2 linked regions of the Xenopus tropicalis genome follow. The protein of the gene in region 2 purifies or fractionates together with the protein of the main gene of each other region. This does not show direct contact. Links are inferred from orthologs where the notes say so. Each region holds a gene or a part of one and is shown on either strand. Other genes may lie near its edges.

What was found. The genes of interacting proteins can lie anywhere in the genome.
Region 1: the proteins of eed (region 2) and aebp2 purify together in Homo sapiens (affinity purification with mass spectrometry; 6 studies listed by BioGRID and IntAct, counting the BioPlex papers as one, with this or other methods). This does not show direct contact. The link is inferred for Xenopus tropicalis from reciprocal best matches to the Homo sapiens genes EED and AEBP2.

What each region holds. Positions count from the first base shown.
Region 1 is NC_030679.2:752,903-763,309, reverse strand, and holds the start of aebp2 (zinc finger protein AEBP2), read right to left. Parts: upstream 6,588-10,407; 5' UTR 6,457-6,587; coding exon 6,191-6,456; intron 4,961-6,190; coding exon 4,750-4,960; intron 2,311-4,749; coding exon 2,203-2,310; intron 1,808-2,202; coding exon 1,621-1,807; intron 1-1,620. UniProt on the Homo sapiens protein: Acts as an accessory subunit for the core Polycomb repressive complex 2 (PRC2), which mediates histone H3K27 (H3K27me3) trimethylation on chromatin leading to transcriptional repression of the affected target gene.
Region 2 is NC_030678.2:168,811,062-168,820,814, forward strand, and holds part of eed (polycomb protein eed), read right to left. Parts: intron 8,144-9,753; coding exon 8,051-8,143; intron 6,549-8,050; coding exon 6,483-6,548; intron 5,755-6,482; coding exon 5,629-5,754; intron 4,744-5,628; coding exon 4,662-4,743; intron 4,450-4,661; coding exon 4,358-4,449; intron 3,402-4,357; coding exon 3,268-3,401; intron 1,728-3,267; coding exon 1,622-1,727; intron 1,446-1,621; coding exon 1,287-1,445; intron 319-1,286; coding exon 245-318; intron 1-244. UniProt on the Homo sapiens protein: Polycomb group (PcG) protein. Component of the PRC2/EED-EZH2 complex, which methylates 'Lys-9' and 'Lys-27' of histone H3, leading to transcriptional repression of the affected target gene.

The sequences.
Region 1 (10,407 bases), on a different chromosome or scaffold from region 2:
GGCAGGGGCAGCATGGTGCCCACACAGGGAGAGCCTGGTACCTTACAGGGCAGGGGCAGCTTGGTGCCCACACAGGGAGAGCCTGGTACCTTACAGGGCAGGGGCAGCTTGGTGCCCACACAGGGACAGCCCGGTACCTTACAGGGCAGGGGCAGCTTGGTGCCCACACAGGGAGAGCCCGGTACCTTACAGGGCAGGGGCAGCTTGGTGCCCACACAGGGACAGCCCGGTACCTTACAGGGCAGGGGCAGCTTGGTGCCCACACAGGGACAGCCCGGTACCTTACAGGGCAGGGGCAGCTTGGTGCCCACACAGGGAGAGCCCGGTACCTTACAGGGCAGGGGCAGCTTGGTGCCCAACAGGAGAGGCTGGTACCTTAAGGGCAGGGCAGCTTGGTGCCCACACAGGGAGAGGCTGGTACCTTACAGGGCAGGGGCAGCTTGGTGCCCACACAGGGAGAGGCTGTACCTTACAGGGCAGGGGCAGCTTGGTGCCCACACAGGGACAGCCTGGTACCTTACAGGGCAGGGGCAGCTTGGTGCCCACACAGGGAGAGGCTGGTGCCTTACAGGGGGGGCACAGAAGGTTCCATACCGGGGGGGGGGGGGGGGGGGGGGGGGAGAACACAGAAGGTTCCGTACCAGGGGGGGGGGGGAGAACACATAAGGTTCGTACCAGTGGGGGGAGGAGAACACATAAGGTTCCGTACCAGGGGGGGAGAACACATAAGTTCCATACCAGGGGAGAACACAGCAGGTTCCATACCAGGGGGGGGGGTTGAGAACACATTAAGGTTCCGTTACCAGGGGGGGGGGAGAACACATAAGGTTCCGTACCGGGGGGGGGGGGAGAACACAGAAGGTTCCGTACCAGGGGGGGAGGAGAACACATAAGGTTCCGTACCAGGGGGGGGAGAACACATAAGGTTCCATACCAGGGGGGGGAGAACACAGAAGGTTCCGTACCAGGGGGGGGAAGAACACATAAGGTTCCGTACCAGGGGGGGGAGGAGAACACATAAGGTTCCGTACCAGGGGGGGAAGAACACAGAAGGTTCTGTACCAGGGGGGGCACATTAAGGTTCCGTACCAGGGGGGGGGGAAAGAAACAGAAGGTTCCGTACCAGGGGGGCACATAAGGTTCCGTACCAGGGGGGGAAGAACACAGCAGGTTCCGTACCAGGGGGGGCACATAAGGTTCCGACCAGGGGGGGAAGAACACAGAAGGTTCCGTACCAGGGGGGGGGGAGAACACAGAAGGTTCCGTACCAGGGGGGGGGGAGAACACATAAGGTTCCGTACTGGGGGGGGGGGGGGGGGGGGGAGAACACATAAGGTTCCGTACCAGGGGGGGGAGAACACAGAAGGTTCCGTACCAGGGGGGGGGGGAGAACACAGAAGGTTCCGTACCAGGGGGGGGAGAACACATAAGGTTCCGTACTGGGGGGGGGGGAGAACACATAAGGTTCCGTACCAGGGGGGGGGGAGAACACATAAGGTTCCGTACCAGGGGGGGGGAGAACACAGAAGGTTCCGTACCAGGGGGGGGGGAGAAAAACACATAAGGTTCCGTACCAGGGGGGGAGAACACAGAAGGTTCCGTACCAGGGGGGGCACTTACGGAGGGTGCGTTTCCGCTTGATCTTCAGCTTGCGCTTGCGGTTCAGTCCGGCTTTGGACGGCGACTCCTCCTTGGACTTGGAGTGATTGGCCATCTTGGAGGAGTTCTGTTGGCTGAAGTGAGTGGGCACGTGCCGGGCCAAGCCGCCCTGGGAGGCAAAGCTGGCATTGCAGCCGCCAACGACGCACTGTCAATCAAACAAGACTTTGCCTCAGTACCGAGCCCAGGGTCCCCCCCCACAAACTCACTGTCGGCCCTAAGGTGCCCCAATGTGCAGCTGCTGTGCCCCCCAGTGTGTAGCCCCTCAGCCTGCACTTACCCCCCAATTATAGTGGGACATTTAGCCCCTGGGGCCCCCCCCCCGACACAGACGGTACCTTGGGGCGCTGCTGGGATCTGTGGGTGCAGCACCGCCTGTTCCCCTGTCTCAGCCCCCTTCTCTCTGGCTCCTCCCCCATTATGGATTAGCCCAGTGCAGTGCTGCTGCCCAATAGCAGTAATGGGCTGGGCCTTCCCAGGAAGGAGGAGCTTATACAGGAAGGAGGAGCTTACACATTGCCCGATTGGCCGTTCCCACAATACCTTGAAGGGTTTGTCTCCGCTGTGGGTCAGCATGTGCCTCTGCAGCCAACTCTGACTCGTAGATGGGGTATTATACACCTTGCAGCCCTTCCAGTAGCACACGTACACCTGTAACATACACAGCCGGGGGTTAGTGCCCCGAGCAACACGGCCGGGGGTTAGTGCCCCACCTACACAGGCCCCCCCCCATATGTATAAATACAAATATACAGAGAGGGAATGTTCTGGGCACACAATAAGCTGTACCCCCATACTGTACTGTCTAAGGGAAACACTATGGCACCTCCTACCCATATGTATAAATACAAATATACAGAGAGGGAATGTTCTGGGCACACAATAAGCTGTACCCCCATACTGTACTGTCTAAGGGAAACACTATGGCACCCCCTACCCATATGTATAAATACAAATATACAGAGAGGGAATGTTCTGGGCACACAATAAGCTGTACCCCCATACTGTACTGTCTAAGGGAAACACTATGGCACCCCCTACCCATATGTATAAATACAAATATACAGAGAAGGAATGTTCTGGGCACACAATAAGCTGTACCCCCATACTGTACTGTCTAAGGGAAACACTATGGCACCCCCTACCCATATGTATAAATACAAATATACAGAGAAGGAATGTTCTGGGCACACAATAAGCTGTACCCCCATACTGTACTGTCTAAGGGAAACACTATGGCACCCCCTACCCATATGTATAAATACAAATATACAGAGAGGGAATGTTCTGGGCACACAATAAGCTGTACCCCCATACTGTACTGTCTAAGGGAAACACTATGGCACCTCCTACCCATATGTATAAATACAAATATACAGAGAGGGAATGTTCTGGGCACACAATAAGCTGTACCCCCATACTGTACTGTCTAAGGGAAACACTATGGCACCCCCTACCCATATGTATAAATACAAATATACAGAGAAGGAATGTTCTGGGCACACAATAAGCTGTACCCCCATACTGTACTGTCTAAGGGAAACACTATGGCACCCCCTACCCATATGTATAAATACAAATATACAGAGAGGGAATGTTCTGGGCACACAATAAGCTGTACCCCCATACTGTACTGTCTAAGGGAAACACTATGGCACCTCCTACCCATATGTATAAATACAAATATACAGAGAGGGAATGTTCTGGGCACACAATAAGCTGTACCCCCATACTGTACTGTCTAAGGGAAACACTATGGCACCTCCCTCCCATATGTATAAATACAAATATACAGAGAAGGAATGTTCTGGGCACACAATAAGCTGTACCCCCATACTGTACTGTCTAAGGGAAACACTATGGCACCCCCTACCCATATGTATAAATACAAATATACAGAGAAGGAATGTTCTGGGCACACAATAAGCTGTACCCCCATACTGTACTGTCTAAGGGAAACACTATGGCACCCCCTACCCATATGTATAAATACAAATATACAGGGAAGGAATGTTCTGGGCACACAATAAGCTGTACCCCCATACTGTACTGTCTAAGGGAAACACTATGGCACCCCCTACCCATATGTATAAATACAAATATACAGAGAGGGAATGCTCTGGGCACACAATAAGCTGTACCCCCATACTGTACTGTCTAAGGGAAACACTATGGCACCCCCTACCCATATGTATAAATACAAATATACAGAGAGGGAATGTTCTGGGCACACAATAAGCTGTACCCCCATACTGTACTGTCTAAGGGAAACACTATGGCACCCCCTACCCATATGTATAAATACAAATATACAGAGAAGGAATGTTCTGGGCACACAATAAGCTGTACCCCCATACTGTACTGTCTAAGGGAAAACACTATGGCACCCCTACCCATATGTATAAATACAAATATACAGAGAGGGAATGTTCTGGGCACACAATAAGCTGTACCCCCATACTGTACTGTCTAAGGGAAACACTATGGCACCACCTACCCATATGTATAAATACAAATATACAGAGAGGGAATGTTCTGGGCACACAATAAGCTGTACCCCCATACTGTACTGTCTAAGGGAAACACTATGGCACCCCCTACCCATATGTATAAATACAAATATACAGAGAGGGAATGTTCTGGGCACACAATAAGCCCCACCCCCATACTGTACTGTCTAAGGGAAACACTATGGCACCCCCTACCCATATGTATAAATACAAATATACAGAGAGGGAATGTTCTGGGCACACAATAAGCTGTACCCCCATACTGTACTGTCTAAGGGAAACACTATGGCACCCCCTACCCATATGTATAAATACAAATATACAGAGAGGGAATGTTCTGGGCACACAATAAGCCCCACCCCCATACTGTACTGTCTAAGGGAAACACTATGGCACCCCCTACCCATATGTATAAATACAAATATACAGAGAAGGAATGCTCTGGGCACACAATAAGCTGTACCCCCATACTGTACTGTCTAAGGGAAACACTATGGCACCCCCTACCCATATGTATAAATACAAATATACAGAGAGGGAATGCCCCGCCCCACGTTGCAGAGAACCAATGAGCACTCACCCCCCCGTGCTGCCCATCCACGTGGAAAGAGCGAATGTGGTCGGCCAGGTCGGGGCTGCAGGAGAAGGTGGTCTGACATTGGTCCCAGCAGCAGCTGTAAGAGAGGCTCTTATTGGCCGACGTGCTGATCATGCTTTGGCCGTTCATCATGGCGGGAGTCGAGCGCCCACTGGAGACCACACTGTCCACATCCATCAGGGTACTGCTGATACTGTGGGGCAACAAGCAGGGGTTACTGGGCTATACTGCCCCCCAACAGGATTCACTTACCCAGGGGGAGGTTCCTGCCTGACCATGGGAAAGAGAGCAGCCCAGGAGCAGGAAGTACAGAGAATCAGAGCTCTGTACCTGGGTAAGTACTGGGGGGAGATTGGATTCACTTACCCAGGGGGAGGTTCCTGCCTGACCATGGGAAAGAGAGCAGCCCAGGAGCAGGAAGTACAGAGAATCAGAGCTCTGTACCTGGGTAAGTACTGGGGGGAGATTGGATTCACTTACCCAGGGGGAGGTTCCTGCCTGACCATGGGAAAGAGAGCAGCCCAGGAGCAGGAAGTACAGAGAATTGGGGACCCTGACAGTCGGGGCAGACAGAGGTGAGAGGGGCACATAGAGTACAATTGCCCCTCAGGCTAATGAGGCAATTGCTAATGAATGTTGCCCCTATACATGAGTGCACTACTTACTCACAGGGGCTGTTGCTACAGAGAGTGATATATCCCCCCGGGTGGGGTAGTTCCGGGCGGCTGGACAAGGCAAGGACTGAACCTTTCCCCATAAGACTGAGGGGACAGAAGGAACCAGCGGGGCCCCGGTCACTGTGAGGGCCAAAGGGCCAGTGGGGTACCGACCAATCGCTAACACTGGGGGGGGCAGATCTGGTAAGTGCCCCAGAGGTGGAAACAGAGGGCTCAATAGATCGGATTCTCATTTGCTCAAGTACAACCTGCCCCACTTACTGCCCCGCCCCCACCGTGACATGTGACAGGACTACACTTCCCATCATCCTCCCCTGCCCTATCCAACCCCAGGGAATGTGAGTGCAGCCCCCTAGGGGCAGAACATATAGTGCCTCAGTACTAACCCCCCCCTGTGTAACTGCCCCAGCTCCATGTTATCTATTCCTACCCAGGTAATGAATACTGCCCCATCCTGCCCTCTAACTACCCCTCCCATAATGTAACTGCCCCAGCTCCATGTTATCTATTCCTACCCAGGTAATGAATACTGCCCCATCCTGCCCTCTAACTACCCCTCCCATAATGTAACTGCCCCTCATTTCTATTCCCCCTCAGTCCAATGACCCAACTGTATCTGCCCCCAGAGCCCAGCCTACCCTACTAACCCCGCCCCCTACCCTACTAACCCCGCCCCCATTCTCCCTGCTGCCACCACAATTGCCCCCAAGTACCTGCCCCAATCCAATTGCCCCTGGGGCACTGACCTGTCCTCCGAGTCCATGCGGCTGAGCGGTTCCCCCTCGGACACAGCCAGGCTCCCCGCTCCGGAGCTGCCGGTTCCCCCCCCGGGGCCCTGACTCTCCTGTCCCGCTGGGCTGTCGGGACGCTCCGACCCGGAGCTCCTGCTGCTCTCATCGTCCGCCTCGTCCTCCTCTTCCCCGGGCGGGGGCACGGCAGGCTGGGCGGGAGGGGGGCTGGAGGAGCCGGCGGGGGGCGCGGAGGGCTCGGAGCAAGAGGAGGCGGCGGCCATCTTGTCACTAAGCTCGGAGCTTCCCTTAGCGGCGGGGCGGGGCTTGGGGCGGAGACTGCGGCAGCATGCGTTACGGCGCCCGTAGAGGGCCAAAGCGGAGTGAGAAGCGGAACTCTTACTGGGCCGGGAGAGGAAAGGCTTCTAGTTATTGGACGAGAGGCTCTTAGGCTCCTCCTACTGTTATATCTTCCCATACTGCCCCCTAGTGGGGACTTACATTCCATACACTGCTCCGCTCTCCTTTCTCAATCAGGCTCTGGCCTCCTCTCCCAGCAGTGCTGTAATTCATCCTATTCCATAAAGGGTAACTGATTGTTTCCGTTTAAGAACAAAGCTCTGACCTGCCATAAAGCAAACCTGGGCTGCCGTTTCTCTACCAGACAGGAAGTGGAGATATTCACACCAGTTCTAGGGAATAGATTCCCCTGTGCAAGGGAAGTAGAGACGGGGGAGTGTATTTCCCGGTACCCATGTGACTCTCTCTGCTTCCTTTGCACGGGGGAGTGTATTTCCCGGTACCCGTGTGACTGTCTCTGCTTCCTTTGCACGGGGGAGTGTATTTCCTGGTACCCATGTGACTGTCTCTGCTTCCTTTGCACGGGGGAGTGTATTTCCCGGTACCCATGTGACTCTCTCTGCTTCCTTTGCACGGGGGAGTGTATTTCCCGGTACCCATGTGACTGTCTCTGCTTCCTTTGCATGGGGGAGTGTATTTCCTGGTACCCATGTGACTGTCTCTACTTCCTTTGCACGGGGGAGTGTATTTCCCGGTACCCATGTGACTGTCTCTGCTTCCTTTGCACGGGGGAGTGTATTTCCTGGTACCCGTGTGACTGTCTCTGCTTCCTTTGCACGGGGGAGTGTATTTCCTGGTACCCATGTGACTGTCTCTGCTTCCTTTGCACGGGGGAGTGTATTTCCTGGTACCCGTGTGACTGTCTCTGCTTCCTTTGCACGGGGGAGTGTATTTCCTGGTACCCGTGTGACTGTCTCTGCTTCCTTTGCACGGGGGAGTGTATTTCCTGGTACCCATGTGACTGTCTCTGCTTCCTTTGCACGGGGGAGTGTATTTCCTGGTACCCGTGTGACTGTCTCTGCTTCCTTTGCACGGGGGAGTGTATTTCCCGGTACCCATGTGACTGTCTCTGCTTCCTTTGCACGGGGGAGTGTATTTCCTGGTACCCATGTGACTGTCTCTGCTTCCTTTGCACGGGGGGAGTGTATTTCCTGGTACCCGTGTGACTGTCTCTGCTTCCTGTGCACGGGGGAGTGTATTTCCCGGTACCCGTGTGACTGTCTCTGCTTCCTTTGCACGGGGGAGTGTATTTCCCGGTACCCATGTGACTGTCTCTGCTTCCTTTGCACGGGGGAGTGTATTTCCCGGTACCCATGTGACTGTCTCTGCTTCCTTTGCACGGGGGAGTGTATTTCCCGGTACCCATGTGACTGTCTCTGCTTCCTTTGCACGGGGGAGTGTATTTCCCGGTACCCGTGTGACTGTCTCTGCTTCCTTTGCACGGGGGGAGTGTATTTCCCGGTACCCGTGTGACTGTCTCTGCTTCCTTTGCACGGGGGGAGTGTATTTCCCGGTACCCGTGTGACTGTCTCTGCTTCCTTTGCACGGGGGGAGTGTATTTCCCGGTACCCGTGTTTACTGTCTCTGCTTCCTTTGCACGGGGAGTGTATTTCCCGGTACCCATGTGACTGTCTCTGCTTCCTTTGCACGGGGGAGTGTATTTCCCGGTACCCATGTGACTGTCTCTGCTTCCTTTGCACGGGGGAGTGTATTTCCCGGTACCCGTGTGACTGTCTCTGCTTCCTGTGCACGGGGGAGTGTATTTCCCGGTACCCGTGTGACTGTCTCTACTTCCTTTGCACGGGGGAGTGTATTTCCCGGTACCTGTGTGACTGTCTCTGCTTCCTGTGCACGGGGGAGTGTATTTCCCGGTACCCGTGTGACTGTCTCTGCTTCCTTTGCACGGGGGAGTGTATTTCCTGGTACCCGTGTGACTGTCTCTGCTTCCTTTGCACGGGGGAGTGTATTTCCCGGTACCCGTGTGACTGTCTCTGCTTCCTTTGCACGGGGGAGTGTATTTCCTGGTACCCGTGTGACTGTCTCTGCTTCCTTTGCACGGGGAAGTGTATTTCCTGGTACCCGTGTGACTGTCTCTGCTTCCTTTGCACGGGGAAGTGTATTTCCCGGTACCCGTGTGACTGTCTCTGCTTCCTTTGCACGGGGAAGTGTATTTCCCGGTACCCGTGTGACTGTCTCTGCTTCCTTTGCACGGGGGAGTGTATTTCCCGGTACCCGTGTGACTGTCTCTGCTTCCTTTGCACGGGGGAGTGTATTTCCCGGTACCCGTGTGACTGTCTCTGCTTCCTTTGCACGGGGAAGTGTATTTCCCGGTACCCGTGTGACTGTCTCTGCTTCCTTTGCACGGGGGAGTGTATTTCCTGGTACCCGTGTGACTGTCTCTGCTTCCTTTGCACGGGGGAGTGTATTTCCCGGTACCCGTGTGACTGTCTCTGCTTCCTTTGCACGGGGGAGTGTATTTCCTGGTACCCGTGTGACTGTCTCTGCTTCCTGTGCACGGGGGAGTGTATTTCCCGGTACCCGTGTGACTGTCTCTGCTTCCTGTGCACGGGGGAGTGTATTTCCCGGTACCCGTGTGACTGTCTCTGCTTCCTGTGCATATGTGGGGGGGGGGGGGGGGGGTGGGGTATGGGGGAGGAGTCACAGGGAAACTGATAGAAAAGTCTAAGTTGCTGATGACAGAATCTCCCTATTTCTGCAGCAGAGAAGTCACAGGTAAATCTGAGCAACATCCAATAGGGGGCATTTATTTAACACTGGGCAAATTTGCCCCAGGCAGTAACCCATGGCAACCAATCAAACTGTTGCAGTCGTTGTTCTACCTGCAGCTGGCTGGAGAAAGCAAATCACTGATTGGTCGCTATGGGATTCAGTATTGTTGATAAGAGCCCCAATATCTGCCCTATTAGCCCCTCCCTGCTGCTTCCCACAGGGGTAGTTATGGGAATGCTGGGAAATTCAACTGGAGAAGAGCAGAGAGTCCCAGCAGTGATCAGAGGGAAGGAAAGAGAGTGAGACAGAGAGACATAGTGAGAGACAGACACAGAGTGAGGGAGAAAGAGACAGTGAGACAGGCAAAGAGTGAGACAGGTGGACAGAGAGTAAGAGACAGTCACAAAAGAGTGAGACAGACAAAGAGAGTGAGAGACAGACAAAGAGAGTGAGAGACAGACAAAGAGAGTGAGAGACAGACAAAGAGAGTGAGAGACAGACAAAGAGAGTGAGAGACAGACAAAGAGAGTGAGAGACAGACAAAGAGAGTGAGAGACAGACAAAGAGAGTGAGAGACAGACAAAGAGAGTGAGAGACAGACAGAGAGTGAGACAGACAGAGAGTGAGACAGACAGAGAGTGAGACAGACAGAGAGTGAGACAGACAGAGAGTAAGACAGACAGAGAGTAAGACAGACAGAGAGTGAGACAGACAGACAGAGAGTAAGACAGACAGACAGAGTGAGACAGACAGACAGAGAGACAGACAGACAGAGAGTGAGACAGACAGACAGAGAGTGAGACAGACAGACAGAGAGTGAGACAGAGAGTGAGACAGACAGACAGAGAGTGAGACAGAGAGTGAGACAGACAGACAGAGAGTGAGACAGAGAGTGAGACAGACAGACAGAGAGTGAGACAGACAGACAGAGAGACAGACAGACAGAGAGTGAGACAGACAGACAGAGAGTGAGACAGACAGAGAGTGAGACAGACAGACAGAGAGTGAGACAGACAGACAGAGAGTGAGACAGACAGACAGAGAGTGAGACAGACAGACAGAGAGTGAGACAGACAGACAGAGAGTGAGACAGACAGACAGAGAGTGAGACAGACAGACAGAGAGTGAGACAGAGAGTGAGACAG
Region 2 (9,753 bases):
CGGAGTGTAGGTGGGTCTGGCCTTATAATCCATCAGCAGAGAGGGTCAGGGAAGGGAGGGATTTGTAGGGCATTATATATTTATTGGCAATTCCATTGCTGGTAAGTTTGTTATATTGTCCCCGGCCCTTGCTGGTGATTTAATGGCTGGACTAGTCAAATACTGAGTGGTAACCAAGCAACAGCTAAAACACAAAGCAACTGCAAAACATACTACTAATTGAAAGAGAAAGAGAGAGACTTACTTGGCCTTATGTGGATCTTCTACTTCCAAGTCCCAAACATAGAGCTTTCCTACTTGGTTACCCAAGGCCAGCATCTTACAGATAAAAAAAAAAGAATAAAAAATATTGTACAATGCAACATGATGGATAGCAGGGTACATTGGCACTATGCTGTAGCTCTGCTGAACATAATCATACAGCAGGTATACAGCTTCTACAGCCCTCCCTGTTCAGAAAGGATTTTAGGAATATTCTGATTACATCATTTCCCTTTGCTTTTTGGCCTTACTGGTCAGTTTTATAAGATGCTTAAAGAGCATTCTGCAAGAATGCAACTCACTTCTGTGTTTTTTAAAGGAAAACTATACTCCTAACAGTGTAGGTCTCTATAAAAAATATACTGCATAACCAGCTCATATGTAAACCCTGCTTCATCTAAATAAACCATTTTCATATAAATATACTTTATTAGCAGTATGTGCCATTGGGTAATCCTAAATAGGAAACTGCCATTTTAAGTACTAAGGGCCGCCCCCTGGGATCATAGGGTTCACAGAGCACACAAACAAGCCAAGGCACACATACATGCTAGGCCCCATCAGCCAATGAATGGGCAGAGTTCTGCCTTTTACTCCCACACTACTTCCTGTTATAGTTAGAGCTGCATCACTTCCTGTCAGCTGATCTCTGAGGGAGCACACAGCCCATCACTAAATGGCGGCTCAAGGGAAAGGATGTAAAAGGGCAATATTTACTGATATATATATATTCCAGTTTGGCGAGATTCTTTATTAGGTCACTTAATATAAACTGTCTGTTGTTTAGGAATTCATTCTGGGGGAATAGTTTTCCTAGAACTTTTCCTCACAAGACCACAAGACCGACTGCTCTGTAGGTACCTGACCAGGAGCAGGACTCTACTCCCCAAGCTGAAGCTATACTAAAGTCTATGAGAGCACATTTTACAAATGCATACCTTAGCTGCAGGCATAAATATTAGCAATTGACGTGATAAAGATCATCTCAAACTGTTTTAATACAAGAAAGATGGAATGTCACTTACTTTTTGCCAGAAGTCCATGGAAAACCTCATATACCAAATATCACACTGACTGTAATCAAAGCGCCCCAGAATGGTCACGTTGGACTCGCTGGCTTTGATCTTGTCTATATCATCTTCCATTTTACCAGGTTTCCAGCACACGATTGCATTTTCACAAGACTGAAATTACAGAGTAAATGCATTCAGCCTCCTTCTACACAAATATCCATCACCGGGCGGATATCGTATCTGTAGGTCCAGCTGTTGGGCAGGGCCCCTTTATCTCTGGTTGTTGTTTACTGTATGTAACTGTATGATCAATGCATACACAAAGTGATAGCGACAGTAACACTCACCTTAGACAAAATAAGGTCTCCTAACCACCTGACACAATCAACATAGTTTCTGTGTATGTCCCTTGTGGAAAAATCAGGGAAATGGATTTTCTGCGAGACAAATGGCCTGCAATGAGAAAATACAGATTAGTTAGAGAAATCCACTTGTAATACAATTTTAATCTAAAACATTCAATATTTCACTGTAAAAATGTATATAACTCACCTTAATAAATTAGCAAACCCATTTAAGCCATTACTTAAGGAGGACACTGCTCATTTGTGCATTAAAGGGGTTGTTCACCTTTGTACAACATTCACAAATCTAACAGTTCACATTAATAGAATCTTTGCCATATAGTTAACAAAACATGTGCTGCTGAAGAGATATTCACCTTAGAATCATCCCTTCACTTCTGCACAGGCCAAGTACTGGGATGGGGGGGGGGGCAGTGAGGGGGCTGTTCCTGCTGAATTGTGCTTAGTACAGGGGAATCCCTATGTGCCATAGTTTTATGGTATCTCTCTGTACAGGCTATGAGCAAACTTAGGGGGCTGTTCCTGCTGAATTGTGCTTAGTACAGGGGAATCCCTATGTGCCATAGTTTTATGGTATCTCTCTGTACAGGCTATGAGCAAACTTAGGGGGCTGTTCCTGCTGAATTGTGCTTAGTACAGGGGAATCCCTATGTGCCATAGTTTTATGGTATCTCTCTGTACAGGCTATGAGCAAACTTAGGGGGCTGTTCCTGCTGAATTGTGCTTAGTACAGGGGAATCTCTATGCTGCCATAGTTTTATGGTATCTCTCTGTACAGGCTATGAGCAAACTTAGGGGGCTGTTCCTGCTGAATTGTGCTTAGTACAGGGGAATCCCTATGCTGCCATAGTTTTATGGTATCTCTCTGTACAGGCTATGAGCAAACTTAGGGGGCTGTTCCTGCTGAATTGTGCTTAGTACAGGGGAATCCCTATGCTGCCATAGTTTTATGGTATCTCTCTGTACAGGCTATGAGCAAACTTAGGGGGCTGTTCCTGCTGAATTGTGCTTAGTACAGGGGAATCTCTATGCTGCCATAGTTTTATGGTATCTCTCTGTACAGGCTATGAGCAAACTTAGGGGGCTGTTCCTGCTGAATTGTGCTTAGTACAGGGGAATCCCTATGCTGCCATAGTTTTATGGTATCTCTCTGTACAGGCTATGAGCAAACTTAGGGGGCTGTTCCTGCTGAATTGTGCTTAGTACAGGGGAATCCCTATGCTGCCATAGTTTTATGGTATCTCTCTGTACAGGCTATGAGCAAACTTAGGGGGCTGTTCCTGCTGAATTGTGCTTAGTACAGGGGAATCCCTATGCTGCCATAGTTTTATGGTATCTCTCTGTACAGGCTATGAGCAAACTTAGGGAACTATTATAGAACTATTGACAAATAAAGTAGAGGGCTTTACTAAATGGGAATTAATGCATGAATAAATAGCTGCTGTGAGAGACACACACAAACTGACCCTTGCAGCTGCACTGTCAGTTACTGAGCAGACTTTCCAGCTTCTGTGGTTACTATAAGCACTGCTGCCATTTTATTGTATGCCTGTAAGGCTGGTTATTGCTTGGATACCAAACATTGACCTGCGGGGTCCAGAACCGAGCTCAGTCAAGCATCGCATTACCTGTTTGTTTTATTGGGGTTGTATTCGTAAGACTCTCTGATGGCCGTCTTCATTCTTAAAGAATTAATTCTCCAGAGCTTAAGGGAATGGTCCATACCACATGACATGATCTTCTCACCAAGCAAATCATAGTCCTAAGGCAAAGAGGCAGCAAGTTAAGACTGAGCTATGGCTACGTAAAACAATATGAAAATTAAATTCTACATGCTCTATATTAGAAACGTTTTTCCGAAAGAAAATATTTCCGCAACAATAAAGCCTAACAAAATATTCAAGTCAAGAAATCAAAAATCCGTGTGCCCTGAGCTAAACTAGAGAAGAAATGTAGGCGTGAATAAACCCATTAGGCTGGCTGTATGTGGGCCGATACTGAATACTTCTGAGCAAGTCAGCAGCTCATTGGCCCTTTCACTGAGTCAAAACGATAGTCTCATTGCTAATAGGGGAACTCCGGCTTCTGTACCAGAATTTCTTAAAGAGCCCCACACAGCACAGAAACCCCCAATATAGGGATCCCTGTAATCTGTTCAAAAAGAAGGAATAAATACCATTTTTTATGCTAAAATCCAGCTGCAAAACAGTTCTTCTCTTTCTGCATCATCTGAAATCCTGGCAGGGGAGGAGGGACTAAAGCCCTGATGTTACAAATTGTAACAACTTCTCCCCAGCTTACAGACAGCATGCAGTAACTACATAACCCACAATGCATTGCACTGGGATGTTCCTTTCCTTACTGACATCACGTGTGCAGCAGGGGATTGTGGGATTGGGAGGAGGCAGGCTGAGAACAGGCAACTACTGTTACATGTTATTTGAGTCACAAAGTAGTCAGCCAATCAGCAGGGGAACAGGGGGCGGGGCTTAGGGAACTGTTCCAAACCAGATTATTACATTAAACATCATGAAAAGGCTGCATATTTTCTAAGTAAAAATACTTGAATTTATGTTTACTTTTCTAAACGCTTAAGTTGTGTTTGGGTTAATATCTGACTGGGATGAGTTTATATATTGTGCAGGAAAGGGGGACAGCATGCTTCTCTCTCAACAGGTCTACACAGCACTAACACCCCCCCAAATGCAGTATACATACCGCGCTTAACACTTCATCTCTGTGACCTTCCACTCCACCAAAAATGGCTACAAGTGTGTCTGTCTGTATGTTCCAAAGTCTTAGCGCATGATCTGCGGGGGGCATAAAACATGGTGTAAAAAAAATAAGACACATACAAACCAGCAGCCATAGCCTTTAGCGGCACAGAGCTGCTCTTAACCACAGTACATAGAGTTGGTTATGATATAAATTCACTTCTGCACATTATATACAAAAATAAGGTGACCCCCTAGACACTAAAGCTCCACCAACCCCTTCAGAGCTTATACAGTTCCACACCTACCTTTGCTAACTGATAGGAGGAGGTTTGGATCCCTTGGATGAAATTTAAGCTCATTGATAGCATTTCCGTGGCCCACATAGTGCTAGAAGAAAGTGGAAGGAAAATTAAAGATATTATGCATGGTTATATATTCCATGTACAATGCTATTTGCAATCCTACAGAAAAAGGGGGATACTTTTAGTATGATGTACAGAGTAATATTCTGAGACAATTTGCAATTGGTCTTCATTTTTTATTATTTGTGCTTTTTAATTATTACACTTTTTGGTTGCTAGGGTTAAAAATGAATAGGAGAGAACCTGAATAGAAAGATAAGCAATAAAAATTGTAGCCTCACAGAACAGCTTATTTTTGGCTTTTAGGGTCAGTGATCCCCATTTAAGAGTTGGCAAGTGTTAGAAGAAACTATAAAAAACTATAAGACGAATTGCTTAGAACTGGCCATTCTAAAATGTACCTAAAGGTGATCCTTCCCTTTAACACAATCAAATGAGTAAATGAGACAAACAATATATTGAAAGCTGGAGTTTCTGTACAGCTGCAGCATTTAAAATCTGGTGATAGCCGTAAAGACTACTCAACTTGCTTATACAAGAAGGGTATTTAGGGTAGGAACCCACAGAGTGGTTCAGTGGCCCACGACAAACCGCTTTGGAAAGGTTTTCCACCGGCAACTGTAGGAGCCGCCAGTGAAAAGCCCTTTGCATCACTTTGTTTTCCAAAGCCCTGAAGATTTTGCATTACTGAAACAATGTGAAGGGCTTTCCACCGGTGACTCCTACTGTCTCCAGTGGAAAACCTTTCCAAAGCAGTTTGTCGTGGGCCACTGAACCGCTCTGTGAGTTCTTACCCTTAAGCACCGATCTTCAAACAGTGAGGGCAGCATCAAACCCAGACTACAGATTAAGATATCAGCTACTAACAAGCTTGTAAATGATCCCACGGATGCAAGGAAAATCCTCTTACCTTAATACACTGCATAGTAATAGGATTAATTATCCTTATGATCCCTCTAGAACCAGCCACTGCTAGAAGTGGGTGACTTGTGTTGCTGTCGTACGTCCAAGCGCAAGTATAAAAGTTCTCATCTGCCTGAATGTAAGAATTAAGGAGAGAAAAAGCTGTACATGGAATCCGTCGCAGTCCCAGACCCAAGGGCGGAGAGGCACCCCAGTTCATGACACCCACAATTCCCCACTGATAGATAATGTCTGAATCATTAAATTAATTGCTCTTACTGACTATTAGCACACTCCCAGTTAACATGAGGGGTCACAAATACCCAGGTTAAAGATTAGGGATGCACCAAATCCACTATTTTGGGATATGGCCGAACCCTGAATCCATCATAAAAGATTTGGCTAAATAACGAACCCTAATTGGAATATACAAATAAGGCTGTGGAATGGTTAAAGAGAACCATATGCAAAGTACGAGGTGAAAATGTTTCAACTTCCGTGTTTATGTGACAAAAAGGTCATGTGACTTAAAGGATTCTGTTGGGCCAGGTCCATGGACTCAGCTGAATCCTGCTGAAAAAGGCCAAATCCCGAACCAAATCCTGGATTTAATCCTGCAGCGCCGGGTTCCTAGGCTCCTCTGCAAAGAGTCTGTATGTTCTCCCCGAGTTTGTGTGGCTTTTTCTGGGTACCCTGTTTTCCTCCCACACCCAAATACATACAGCCAGGTAACCTGGCTTCTGAAACAACTAGTGTGTGTGTGTGTGTGAATGTGATTGGGAACCTAGATTGTAACCGTGAACAACAATTAACTGCAAATTCCAAATATTTTCAGCAAAAAGCAAAACTCGTCAAGGATACGTCGGCGTCCACATAGGACTGCAGCAGTCGGATTTCCCCCTGTGGGTGGCATTCATATAACGTTACCTATGTGAGAAAAACAAACATTCTTAGAACAGAGGGGCCACGGATATGCATAGCGATATCTCGCAGAAATATACAGAAAGCCGGAACACCTTATAATATATAATAGTATATATAGTATATAATAGTAGCAATGTCCTAAATGTCCCTGCCGGAAGCACAGTAAAAGGGGGAGAGCCAATCACAGCCCAGCAGTCACACAAGCAAAGGAAGGCTCCAGTTCCCTATCAGGTCAGCCTAGCTGCTGATTGGTTCCTATCCTACAGTGCAGTGTGCTGAGTGCCACTGGCCCCCCTGCACAGCCCGGGAAAGAAGGCAGCAGGAAGTGGAACAGATGGGCGGGACTAGTGGGGTTTTTGTTGAAATTTCTAATAAATCAGCCCTAAACAGTACATTTGAAAACACATTCCTTCTATGAGTCCAATTCATATTGTTTTTCACACACTATGTCCCCTTTACATCAAAATTTCAAATGAGAAAAACATCCCAATGGACTTGCATTCTGCAACACCATTTCAAAAAGTAGTGTGCCTAGGTGCAATTATATCATCAATAACCAACGCAGACCAAATATTAATGAATAGAAAGCAGGAAAATACAAGGCATCAATTACCAACACGACTGCTGCATTGCACCGGGGCAATAACCCATAGTTTGAAGGGGAGGGATTCCTTTGTTTCACTAGAATGATCTAAGGAAATATCCTTAGATCATTCTAGTGGAACGAAGGAATCCCTCCCCTTCAAACAAAACAGGGATTGTTACTCCATATATAGCAATATATTTAGGCTGGCCAACTACATCAAATATGAATTGTGTGGTCACAGCCTCATTGCACCCCCGCCTAATGGTTTAAAATGCAGTGTTGAGCACAACTTTCCCTTTGTTGCCTCCTAACTAGAAATTCAAAAATAAGCACCAGCTTTGAGGCCACTGGGAGCAACATCCAAGGGGTTGGGGAGCAACATGGTGCTAACGACCCACTGGTTGGGGATCACTGCCCTAGAGCAATAGCTGCAAAAAGCCTCATTAACATTTTTATAAACAAGTTTTTACCTTATACTTGCATTATTAAATCTTTATGTAAAGGAACAGTAATGCCTCCCAGGCAAATTTTTCGTTTTGGCCTCTTTAATCACTTTATTGACACTCCATAAAACTATACATATTTGGCATTGGCACATTCATGAATCATGCAGATTTCGAAATCAGTTTTATTCAGTAAATAGTATCAGTATTTTCACATATAGAACATTTTAGTGATATATCCCTATATAAACACATCTTATGCAAACTGGCAACATCTATTTTTTTTTTTTTAGACCCATAAGAAGTGGAATTAAACAAAACAATTAGAAAGTCCAGGTTCTATAAAAAAAAATAGATGTATAGTTTTACTAGGCAAACTAATTCCCCTTAAGTGAAATGACTGGCAAATGAAAGGGAAACCCTGCCCCAGCTGCCCCCTCATTGTAAATAGCTTGCCATCACATTCCCATACATACCCTGTTACTTCCAACAGTAGCGAAAACCAGCGGGTCTCCCTCCTTACTGTGCCAGTTAAACTGAACCCCAAACAGTGGCTGATTGTGATCTTCCTGCAGGAATGGAAAAAAAAAAACACCATTGCATAATAAGCACAAATTGATTTTGTGGCTGAATAATCTAATGCAACAGAAATTTTCCACCCACTTTACACTAGGAAAAAGAAATGTAAATAAGAGGATTAATCAGCTTGCTAAATAACCTGCTTCAATTTAAAGAAACAGTGACCCCAAAAAATGAAAGTGTATAAAAGTAATTAGAATATAATGTATTGGTAACAACTGGGGTGTTTGGCTCTTAAACCCTACTATAGTTTATATAACCAAAGCTGCTGTGTAGCCCCAGGGGCAGCCATTCAAAGGAGAGAAGGCACAGGTTAGAGAGCTTATCAGTTATCTGCTATGTAACCTGTGCCTTTTCTCCTATTTTCCAGCACGAATGGCTGCCCCCGGAGCTACACAGCGGGGTATTTATATAAACTATAGTAGGGTTTCTGTAGCAAACACCCCAGCTGTACCAGTGCAGGAATGGCTGCCCCCGGGGCTACACAGCGGGGTATTTATATAAACTATAGTAGGGTTTCTGTAGCAAACACCCCAGCTGTACCAGTGCAGGAATGGCTGCCCCCGGGGCTACACAGCGGGGTATTTATATAAACTATAGTAGGGTTTCTGTAGCAAACACCCCAGCTGTACCAGTGCAGGAATGGCTGCCCCCGGGGCTACACAGCGGGGTATTTATATAAACTATAGTAGGGTTTCTGTAGCAAACACCCCAGCTGTACCAGTGCAGGAATGGCTGCCCCCGGGGCTACACAGCGGGGTATTTATATAAACTATAGTAGGGTTTCTGTAGCAAACACCCCAGCTGTACCAGTGCAGGAATGGCTGCCCCCGGGGCTACACAGCGGGGTATTTATATAAACTATAGTAGGGTTTCTGTAGCAAACACCCCAGCTGTACCAGTGCAGGAATGGCTGCCCCCGGGGCTACATAGCGGGGTATTTATATAAACTATAGTAGGGTTTCTGTAGCAAACACCCCAGCTGTACCAGTGCAGGAATGGCTGCCCCCGGGGCTACACAGCGGGGTATTTATATAAACTATAGTAGGGTTTCTGTAGCAAACACCCCAGCTGTACCAGTGCAGGAACGGCTGCCCCCGGGGCTACACAGCAGGGTATTTATATAAACTATAGTAGGGTTTCTGTAGCAAACACCCCAGCTGTACCAGTGCAGGAATGGCTGCCCCCGGGGCTACACAGCAGGGTATTTATATAAACTATAGTAGGGTTTCTGTAGCAAACACCCCAGCTGTACCAGTGCAGGAATGGCTGCCCCCGGGGCTACACAGCAGGGTATTTATATAAACTATAGTAGGGTTTCTGTAGCAAACACCCCAGCTGTACCAGTGCAGGAACGGCTGCCCCCGGGGCTACACAGCAGGGTATTTATATAAACTATAGTAGGGTTTCTGTAGCAAACACCCCAGCTGTACCAGTGCAGGAATGGCTGCCCCCGGGGCTACACAGCAGGGTATTTATATAAACTATAGTAGGGTTTCTGTAGCAAACACCCCAGCTGTACCAGTGCAGGAACGGCTGCCCCCGGGGCTACACAGCGGGGTATTTATATAAACTATAGTAGGGTTTCTGTAGCAAACAC